2 linked regions of the Caenorhabditis elegans genome follow. The protein of the gene in region 2 interacts with the protein of the main gene of each other region in a pairwise test. Each region holds a gene or a part of one and is shown on either strand. Other genes may lie near its edges.

What was found.
Region 1: the proteins of R07G3.8 (region 2) and ndrr-1 interact in a two-hybrid assay, tested with the Caenorhabditis elegans proteins (one large-scale study listed by BioGRID).

What each region holds. Positions count from the first base shown.
Region 1 is NC_003279.8:13,469,899-13,476,097, forward strand, and holds ndrr-1 (Protein NDRG3), read right to left. Parts: upstream 4,288-6,199; 5' UTR 4,284-4,287; coding exon 4,100-4,283; intron 4,054-4,099; coding exon 3,933-4,053; intron 2,643-3,932; coding exon 1,916-2,642; 3' UTR 694-1,915; downstream 1-693. Other genes in the region: ints-8 (INTegrator complex Subunit homolog), read right to left, coding at 122-302, 354-453.
Region 2 is NC_003280.10:7,617,689-7,622,476, forward strand, and holds R07G3.8 (CYRIA/CYRIB Rac1 binding domain-containing protein), read right to left. Parts: upstream 2,826-4,788; 5' UTR 2,825-2,825; coding exon 2,608-2,824; intron 2,560-2,607; coding exon 2,297-2,559; intron 2,252-2,296; coding exon 2,178-2,251; intron 2,128-2,177; coding exon 1,972-2,127; intron 1,614-1,971; coding exon 1,415-1,613; intron 922-1,414; coding exon 826-921; 3' UTR 550-825; downstream 1-549.

The sequences.
Region 1 (6,199 bases), on a different chromosome or scaffold from region 2:
ATTGGTTGAGGCTCAGAAATTTTGTAGTTTGTAGTCTGTGAACCTCAACCAACCCACAGAACTCTTCTAGCCTCATTTTCATTCATTTTTCTTCGTTTTTTCACCTCAATCAAGTACTCACTTATCAATAATAAACTCTATATCATAATCCAACGCGGCAAACGTGGCCATCGCACACAATCTCATACTTGCCGCCTTTCTCTCGAAGAGCATCAGCTCCTCGACAGCCAATTTTCCTTTATCTTTTTCCCGTTCGGCGAGGAATCCTTTATCCGTGAATTGCATACATAGTCGTGGGAGTTCTGCAATGGAAAAGCATGAATTTTCAGGCATAAACGAGCATTTTTCCCTACGTTTTCTCTTTTCCGGGTCCAAAAGCGACTTTGAGATGCATGTTGGGTCGACGAATAGCTCAAACCACGAAACGTCACCCGTACTCTCCGGATTATCCATTAAAAATGCTCAATTTCCGTCTGAAACTCGGTTTTTTTAGCAAAATACTGCGGAAATGTCTAAATTCGAAGTTATCCGAGAGGACTACACGGCCGGTGGCCTTGGAAAACGCGCGTGGCCGCGAGGGGGAAATGAAGGGAATTTCCCGTTTAAAACCAGAATAAATAGCTAATTTTAAAGTATATTCGAGGAATTTTAGTACTGAAATCAAAAATCTGAAAATGAAGTAATATAAATCAAATAAAAATCTCATTTTATTGAAAGGAAACGCAAAAAAAGGCATTGCAGAGGAATCGTATTGAGATAAAACACGAAAAAATGGGGTAAAATGCGTAGAGAATTTCAAGAAAAATAACGACGATTTTTAATTATTATATGGCGTTGCTGCTTCTACGAAATAAAGCTAAAGAGAAAGAATGGTGATCACACATGCGGTAGAGAGAGCGGGGAGAGACAGAAGTAGCGGAATTTTCGAAAGAAAGGTGTAGAATGAGGACAAAAATTGAGAAAATACATTTTAAATTTGGGGAAAAGTAGATGAAAATCGGGAAAAATCGACTGAAAATTCGAGTTTTTAAGCGAAAAATTGTTGAGTGAGGCTGTGGAATTTTTGTAGTTTGTAGTCTCTGAGCCTCAACCAAATCAGTGGATGGTTTTAGCTATGGTTTTCGTAGTTTTTAGTCGATTTTTCTCGCGAAAATTGTCTAAAATCTGGGAAAAAGCTAGCATTTTCGAAAAATAATGTGTAAATTCGACGAAATTTCATGAAAGAAATATTTCATAGAAATCTGATAATTTTCAGATTTTTCCACATGAAAAGCTTGAATATAGAAAAATTCTATGAAAAATGCTACAATTTCGATTTTTCAGCAAAAAAAAAATAAAAAGTCGTCTAAAATTAACGAATTTTCCACGAAAAGTGTTTCAAAATTTGGGTGAGGCTCAGAAACTACAAATTACAATTCTGGCTCAGCCTCACTCAATTGGAATTTTTTGGCATTTTTCTTTAAAATTTAGGATAGAATGGTGAAAATACATTTGAAATTTGGGGAAAAGTAGATGAAAATCGGGAAAAATCTACTGAAAATTCGAGTTTTTAAACGAAAAGCCTTGGTTGAGGCTGTGGAATATTTGTAGTTTGTAGTCTCTGAGCCTCAACCAAATCAGTGGATGGTTTTCGCAGTTTTTGGTCGATTTTTCGATTTTTTATTCAAAAAACATGACTTTTAGAAAACAAAAGTTTGAAAATTGAAAAATTCGATTTTTCCGCAAAAAAAATATTTGGATTCGACCAAAATAAATGTATTTTCCACGAAAATCGCTTCAAAATTTGGGTGAGGCTCAGAAACTACAAACTACAATTCTGGCTCAGCCTCACCCCATCGGAACTCTTTGGCATTTTTCTTTTTTTTTTTTAATTCAAATTTTCAGTCAAATTTCCCCTAAAAAAGAGAAAATACAATCAACATTCATTAGCACTGCTAGCAACGGCAGCAAAGCCTCCATTCTGCGTCTCCTGCATCTTTTTCGTCATCTTCATCACATTAAGCGTCGGAAAATATCCCAATCCCTGCAAAAAGAGCATCATGCTCTCCGTCACAGCGTCCGGTCGATCGTCAAGCACAAGACCACACGAATCGGATATCTTAATCCAATCGGCGTGTGCCGGGTCCAACTTCGTATTCACCTCTACCGTATCCTCAACGTGAGCGCTTCCGGCTCCGACGAGCTGGAGCACAGGGACTTTAAGCTGAACACCGGTGGTTCCGTCACGTGAGATAGGGAGTGGGGTCCGTTGAATGTAGGATTCAATGAATTCGGCGAGGCTATTCGGATTCGGAAGGTGCTGGAAGAAGACACGATACTGACGAACGATATCCGGACTGCAACGATCATAATTTCTGCCAAAATGATGCCACATCAGATAATCCACAGTGAATTTTGTCATGCCAACTTTACGAAGATACGATGTATTCCATTTCTCATATCCCCACTCGACCCATCCCGACTTTCCAGAACAGCAATTGACGAGGACGAGAGCGATGACGCGGTTCTGGTTTTGAGCTGCGTATCTTAGAAGTACGTTTGCACCAACGCCCACGCCAAATCCGATGAACTGATTGAGTTTGAAGTGATCGGCGACTGATTCGATCGTTTTTGCGATTCCGTCCATTGTTGGGTAGGTGAAACTGTAATGAAAATTTGGAAAAAAAACTTTTGAATTCTCGGAGAAAATCTTAATTTCATCTTTTTTTCTTCTGAATCTATGAAAAAACGTCTAAAATAACGCTTTTTCACATTAGAAAATTGGTTGAGGCTCAGAAAGTTTGTAGTTTGTAGTGTGTGTGTGAGCCTCAACCAGATAATTTTATTTGATTATCTAATTTTCAGTTATAAATAGAGTTTCTAAATACGTGAAAATTCAAAGAAAGAAAAAGGTCAAAATTTTGGGAAGTCTACTGAATTCCACGTGGAGAAAAATTTGGTGAGGCTAAACATTTTGTAGTTTGTAGTGTGCGAGCCTCAACCAAGAATGTGACATTTTTTGGTGAGGCTTACAGATTGTGTAGTTTGTAGTCCCTGGGCCTCAACCAACACAAATATTGAAAATTTCGATAAAAATACGTTTTTTAAAGGAATTTTTGGAAATTTTCGGAGAAAAATCGTGAGAAAAACGTTTAAATTTTGAATTTTTCTAACGTTTTTGGGAAATTTTTAAACTTTTTCGAATTGTTGTCGGTTTAAATTAAAGAAAAAATCCATAAAAATAATAAATATCGTCTGAAAATTTCTATAAATTTGAGTTTTTATAACGTTTTTGAAACATTTTGGTATACTTTTTAGCTTAAAAAATTTGAAAAACCAGAAAATAAAACTTTAAAAAACTCGTTAGATTTCTGTAGTTTGTAGTCTCTGAGCCTCAACCAAATCAAGGTTTTGGGTTTTTTTAAAAATTTTTCCAAAAATTGTGTTAAAACTGGGGAATTTACACAAAAACTGCTAATTTTAAGAAAAAAAAGTCTAATTTCAAAAGATTTCAATTTGGGTGAGGCTGTGGGATTATTGTAGTTTGTAGTCTCTGAGCCTCAACCAACGCAAATATTGAAAATTTCGATAAAAATACGTTTTTTAAAGGAATTTTTAGAAATTTTCGGGGAAAGTCGGGAGAAAAACGTTAAAATTTTTTTTATTGAATTTTTCTAACGTTTTTTTGAATTTTCTAGTCATTTTATTTTTAAAAAAGTTTTGGTTTTTTTTTTAAATTTTTCCCAAAATTGTGTTAAAAATGGGGAATTTACACAAAAACTGCTAATTTTAAGAAAAAAATAGTCTAATTTCAAAAGATTTCAATTTGGGTGAGGCTGTGGGATTTTTGTAGTTTGTAGTCTCTGAGCCTCAACCAAATCAGCAGATTGATTTTTTTTTCCAAAAATTGTGTGAAAACATGGAAAAAGGCAAGAATTTTCGAGAAATTATACTTTTCCGGAAGCGGCTGAGCATCCATTTCCTGTCCCGGAGCATTCACATTGTAGATGCAGAATTTGTCGGCGAATTCGGCGATCGACACGAATTGGAAAAAGTTTTGGAAATTGCTTTCCGCTGCAAAATGTACGATTTTAATTCAATTTTTCTGCTAAAAGCTCACAATCAAGCCCAAGATCATGAAAAGTGACCATCGGAACCTTTTTCGGATCGTTACGGTCTCCGTAAATCGACACTTTGATAGCTCCAAAGGCCGTGTTCACTTTTTCTTCGGTGAAATTGTTGGCAGATTCTTCCATTAGAGGCTGCATGTCACGTGTAAATGAGTGCATTTCTATTGATGCCATGGTTCTGGAAAAGTGGTATTTAATAGAGGAAATATAAAGGAAACAGTGAAAATAGAGAGAAAATCGAGAAAAATTAGAGAAAATCCAACAAAATCGATATTGGTTGAGGCTGAGAGACTACAAACTACAAAATCATCTGAGCCTCAACCAGATTTTATTCGAAAAAACATCTGACTTTTACAACTAAAATAAAGTGAAATACGTCGTTTTGGCTGCTCAGAATCAAAGAAAAAAATAGTTTGTATGATTGAGGCTGAGGCTACAAACTACAACATCATCTGAGCCTCAGCCAGATTTCATTTGAAAAAATTTGGCGTTTACAACTTAAATTAAGTGAAATGAGTAGTGTTGGCTGCTAAAAACCAAAGAAAATATACTTGTATGGTTGAGGCTCAGACTACAAACTACAAAATCCTGTGAGCCTCAACCAAACTTTATTTGACAAAAGGGATTATTTCCACAATTTCCGAAGGTAAAAGCAAAAAACTTAAGAAAAATGATATTTTTGTGTGAATTCAGCTATATAAACGCAGGAAATATTGAAAAGTCGATTAAGAGACACAATTTTTCATGCAAAAAATAGGTGGTTGAGGCTAAGTCTCCAAACTACAAACTACAAAATCGTCTGAGCCTCTCCCAAATTTTGTTTCGAAAAATCGAGGTCATAATGCGAAAAAAAACGAAGAAAAATGAGAGAAAATGAGGCTAGAAGCGTTATGTGAGTTGGTTGAGGCTATGGCTACAAACTACAAAATTTCTGAGCCTCAACCAATTTTTTAATTAAAAAAAACGTTATTTTGGATGTTTTTTCACAGATGCTGAATAAAAAAAGCTGAAATTAAGATTTCCTTGAAAATTTCAGAAAAAAAAACACAAAAAAAAACAAAATTTTTCAAAAAACATGCCGAAAATTCGGAAATTTCACAAGAAACATCCGAAAATTTTGAATTTTTCAAAATCTTAATTCGAAAATTGAATAAAAATTGAATATTTCGCTTTTCGAGACAAAAAATTACAACACTTTCGTAAAAAAAATTGCGCGAGAAAATGGTTGAGGCTCACAGACTACAAACTACAAAATCATCTGAGCCTCAACCAAATTTTGTTTCGAAAAAAAACAAAAATAAACACGATTTTTGACGAAAACACCAAAAAATTGTAGAAAAAGTTGTTTTTTTTTAATTAATCAAGCTCAGAAATGATAAAAACTTTGAAAATGATGGTTGAGGCTGTGACTACAAACTACAACTTAGCCTGAGCCTCACCAAAACTGGTTTTAATTGAAATTTGCCAAACAAAGCAAGTTTTTAGGTGAAATTTGAGTGAAAAAGTAAAAAAGTACGGTGCAGTCGTCTGACACAAATGAAAGTAAGTGAACATATGATCGGAAGCTTGAAAATATCATTGAAATAGTTAGAGACGCAGTGAGTCACCAGACAACCAGAAGGAGAGAGAGAGAGAGATACGAGAGACATAAGTCTATTGATTCTGCTGCCAATATTGCTGGGCTTTTGCATTTGTTGACCCAAAAAGTACAACGGGGCGAAGTTGCAAATTTTGTAGTTTGTAGCCACAGCCTCAACCATTTGTTTGAATGAAAATTAATAGATTTGCCTGAATTTATCGAAATTTTAAGCGCATTTTTTAAAAAATACTTTGCAGTTTTACCGTCAGAAAATATAGATATAATCCAGTTTTTAATTAAATTCATTCAAAAAAAAATTTGGTTGAGGCTCACAGGATTTTGTAGTTTGTAGCCACAGCCTCAATCATTTATTTTTGCATGAAAATTAAGTTTTTGATAGATTTTCGCAGAATTTCCGGCATTTATCGAAATTTTAATCGAATTTTTTTTAATATTTCGCAGTTTTACCGTTAAAAATTATAGATATAATCGAGCTTTTACGTGTATTAAT
Region 2 (4,788 bases):
TCTCGATGAGCATGATTCCAGAATTTTTTAATTGTTTCGTATAGAATTTCGATAAGCAGGGCAGTTTATAGTTTCTCATCTGTTTTCGAATTTTTATCGAATAATCCCCTCGAAAATTTTTAAAAGTTCATCCAAATTAACTATCATTCTTTTCAATGACACCTCCTCTTTAACATTTTCGTCGTCGTTTTTATTTTCTTTTTTATCCCAAAACGTGTTTATAGTCCGGATACACCGTTACGTAATGCGCCTTCTCCTTTCCCATGGTTCTTTTTATAATTATATAATAGGTGTTGTATAGCACAACCAACTACATCCCGAGTCGCTTGTTTCTTCATTTGCTGCTCAAAAATACCGACCAGTTTGTTTTTCTTCTTTCCTTTTTTTTGTGCTTTTCTGCCTTCACACATCCATTTCCCATTTTAAACTGTTTTCTCATCCACTACGTTTTGTGTCTCCCTCCTCCTTTCTCCAGAACAACTCTGTATTTTAATTTTTCTACATATTGTTGTTATATATTTGCGATCCAAAACAATAAAGGTGTGATATAAAAAATTAAGATGTTTATAAAAGATCTTGAAAAGTATACAAGTGGGTGTTGTAGAAAAAGAAGAACCGGAACCATAAGGCATTGAGAAAAATAATTAATGAGTGGGTGAATTGGAACGAAAAATAATTATTATCACTGACAAAAAGTACTGTTTGACGAGGAGAGGAACATAATCACCGTGTATGAGGAAATGGGCTTCAACTAGAAACGATAAGAGAACATAAAATAGAGGCAAGGATGACTAGAATTAATGAACAAATTGACAAAAAATGAAATTATTTCACTTCAATCAAATGACGAAGAGATTTTGGAGTACTTGAATCATTATAATGTTTTGTTGTGAAACGAAGACCAGCAAGTAGACAATCAGACTGAAAATAAAACAATTAATATGGGTTGCTCAATTTTATTCTAATTTTTATTATGGAAGCGCAGAAAAATGCTCATTTTGAAAGCGCGTTTGCAATCGCGCTTTACGGACAAACTGTTGGGTCTCGTTAGGTATTCGCAGAAAACTAGAAATTCGAACATGTTCAAACATTTTTCGTCTGCTTTAAATGCTTTCCGCTATTCTTTTAAATTAATTTCAGTCCGAAATTGATGAATTAAAATTTATAAACGAAAAAAAAATTCGATTTTCATTGTCACATGCATTTTTAAAATAATAATTTTGAAACAAAAATCATTAAAAACAACTTCAAATTGTATGAATTAATGCTGTCAATTCCTAACGAGACTCATAGTTTGGCGTTGGAGCGAGCTTGCCCCTTCATTTCATTTTTCTGCGTCCCCATAATGTTTGGAAAACGATATAAGCAATTTTCGCTCTACTACACGAAAACTCTAAATATGAAAAACGCTTACCTGTTCAGGAGTGGTATTTAGTTTGATCAACCTGACAACATCTCTCATATCAATTGATGAGTTTGACACGAATGCACCATTTTGATCTACGTGATCGAATAATATTACAAGGCCAGTCATCACTCGACAGCAAAGATGTTTCGATGAATCTGTCAGTCGTGCCAGACATTCGTCATTTGCTAACATGAATCGGCAAACGCTGAAAATTTTAATACAATTTTATTTTACCGTAACTCATCATATCGTAACTCATGACTGATCAGTGAAAAAAGTAGTTGAAAATCACTATTAAAGTGCAAAAATGACCAAGAACTTTCCAAAAAAAGTTAATGTTTCATTTGCAGTGAAAAAGAAGATCAATTCATAATTTTGGAAGTATTTTTGAAAGATTTGTCAGATTTCCAAAACGTTGACTGAAACTTTTCATAACACTAAAAATTATTTAATCACGATATTTAAAAGATTTCCATTTTCTTGCTTGTGTTCCATAAATTGCGGATGGAGTTTACGATATATTCCAAAAGTATGTTTTTCAGTTTAATTTATAGAAAACTCACTTGATAATTGTTACAAAAACATCAGTTGTATTGTTAATTGGCAAGCTTTGATGTGTCTGCATGTACGAATCTACACCATTACAAAGTGCTTTTAACATTGGATTTCCTTCACAAAGAAACATTTGAACTTGTGGTAATTCGGGAACTCCTTGGTCTCTACAAATTTAAAATTATATTAGATTGTTTCAAATAAATTAAATACTTACTCAAAATCCTGATAAACAATATGTTTTGCTCGTCGGTAATAACTGTAATCATTTGTTATCTGGGCGGTTCTCATCTGAAATTAAATTTTTTTCTTTAATTGGAAAAGTGGAATTCATACTTTTACGACATCAAAGTCCAATACAAATCCAATTAATCGTGCAAACTGTTTGGCAATTGATTGTTTATTTGCAAGTTGTTCTTCGAGAGGTAATGGGCCAGATGATAATTCCCATAGAATTATTGGTACGATTTTTTCAATTTTTGCAACATGTTCATAGTAGGAACATGTTCTGGCAACAAATGGTTCAAGCTTTGTCATTAAAACTTTTAAAGCTTGAGTATCACTGTCATTTTTTAATTGATTTCTTTCTGCATAGCAACCTGAAAATTGATGTTACAAGTCTACTAAAAAATAAAAATCTAACGTACCATTTCCATAACTTGATACATCAGCAAGTACTAAATCACAATCATTTAATACTTCTTCAGCCATATTATATATTTCCCTTTCTTCATCTGTTGGTTGTGCATTTTCAAAATCCACAAAAATCTCGACCCATTTTGAATTATCATCTGCTGTTGATCGTATAATTGATCGTATCATCTCAAGACAAGATGCATCAGATTCTCGAATATTCGACGGCATTCTGCGAATCATTAAGCTGAGTATTGAATAGTATTTTAGAAGTGAAAGTTGGAAAATAAAAAGAAAATAAGCGTATAATTACACGATGATCACATGAAGATTATAAGATGCCGGAGAAAAGTAGTTGAAATGGGGGAAAATGGAAAACAAAAAAACTGGGAATCTTGAAAACAAGTACCATCTGGAGTTGAAAGGGAATGAAATCAAAGTGTTCGAAGGAGAATCTTAAAAATGGCAGCTGGACGATAGCCGGACAAAAAAGCTGGGGAAAGATGCACCTGGTACAAATTGCAGCTGTTTCAGAAATTGCTGCGAGTAAAGTAAAAAGGTCAGTGCTCTTGGTGCACTTTAAATCTAATTTTAAAAAAATTGTCTTGGTACATATATAATTATCCAAAATGACAAAAATGAATTTTTAGATTTTTGAATAATAATGAATTTAGGTTAATTTTCGAAAACTTGGACTTTCTGACAATGAGAAGTTTAAAACAGTACTGCAACACCTGGGATGTTGGAACAAATATAATTTAAATATAACAAAATATGAACTCGTATCTACGAAAATTAAAACAAAAAATATAACTTTGGCATTTGGACATTTTAGCACCATAAGACGGTAATATTTGTCGCGTCTAAAATTTAAAAGATTTCAAAACTTATAGTCAGATACCATGGCTACACTATCAATTGTGAAAAACCAAAAACTGTCTGTCAGCTAGATAAGTATTTTGAATGAGAACCGAAATTGTGTGGGTGTGAAGCAAAGAAGAAAAAAGGTAACCGAACAGATTGGACTTGTAAAATGCAAACATATTGGGTGGCCGGTGTTTGAATTGTGTACATATATATCGGCAGCAGTGCGCGGGAATGCATTTCCTAGTGGATGTTGTCCGCAAAAATGAAATGGAAGAAAAATAGAAGAAGCCATTGGAAAGAAGACTATAAGAAGTGCACAGCTCGTTGTGCGCCGAAACAAAATGGCTCATGGATACAAAATGCGTGAAGAGCAGGAAATTGGTGCTGTTGGCTCACTATTGCTTTTACTTGTTTTATAAAAATGACCAAAAGAGAGTGAGAGGGAGCCTTGAGACAATGCTTGGGTCATTTTGAAATGAAAGGAAATTAGGGGAAAATGGGTGAAAATGGTGGACGCACGATGCGGTCATAAACGGGCCGGCGACGTGAGGAAAAGTGAAAAGTTGTTTATGGATGAAGACGTCGTCCTTACGGAAATTGAAGAGAGAGAGAGACTCTTTGGAAGTGTCACACGGAAAAGAATGAATTGGAATAGAACACGAGAAAAGACATGATTAGAGAGAAAGAAAGAAGAAGAGATACTTACCAAGTTGTGACCTTGGACAAATGGATTTTAACAAAAACAATATTTACGGATTCTGAAAAATTTTCAATTTTGGGTACAATTTTCAGGAAAATTTATACTTTTGATGTAAAAGACAAGCAGAAATTCTTCCAAAAAGGAGCTTTGAATATTCCGATCGTTTTTTTTAATCAAAAAACAATTATTTCAAAACTTTTCAGAAAAAAATAGATATGCAAATATTTTTATTATCAGCAATTGTAGAATTTGAACCCTTGATTACAAAATTTCCTAGAAAAAAGTATTTGTTTCAAACGGAGTAAGTGATACGAATAAATTGCAGCAGGTATCTAGAAAACCTGCGACTGGAAATGTTTTTTTTTCCAATCATAAATTGTTTATGGAACGAGAAAACGGGACAACCTTGTGATATAGATTTTTCGTAAAAATTGAAAAATATATATGTGCAGCAAAAAAAAATAAATGAAATTTAATCTGAAGGCGTGATGCTTCCGATATATTCAACGGCACCCGTTTTTTCTTTGCTTTGGTTTTTTTGTGACTACTCCAGAAAAGCGATAAGATCTAAGAAAAAAGAATAAAAGAATAGGTGAAAAGGAGAAATAGGTTGTTGACAAAGTGTCAA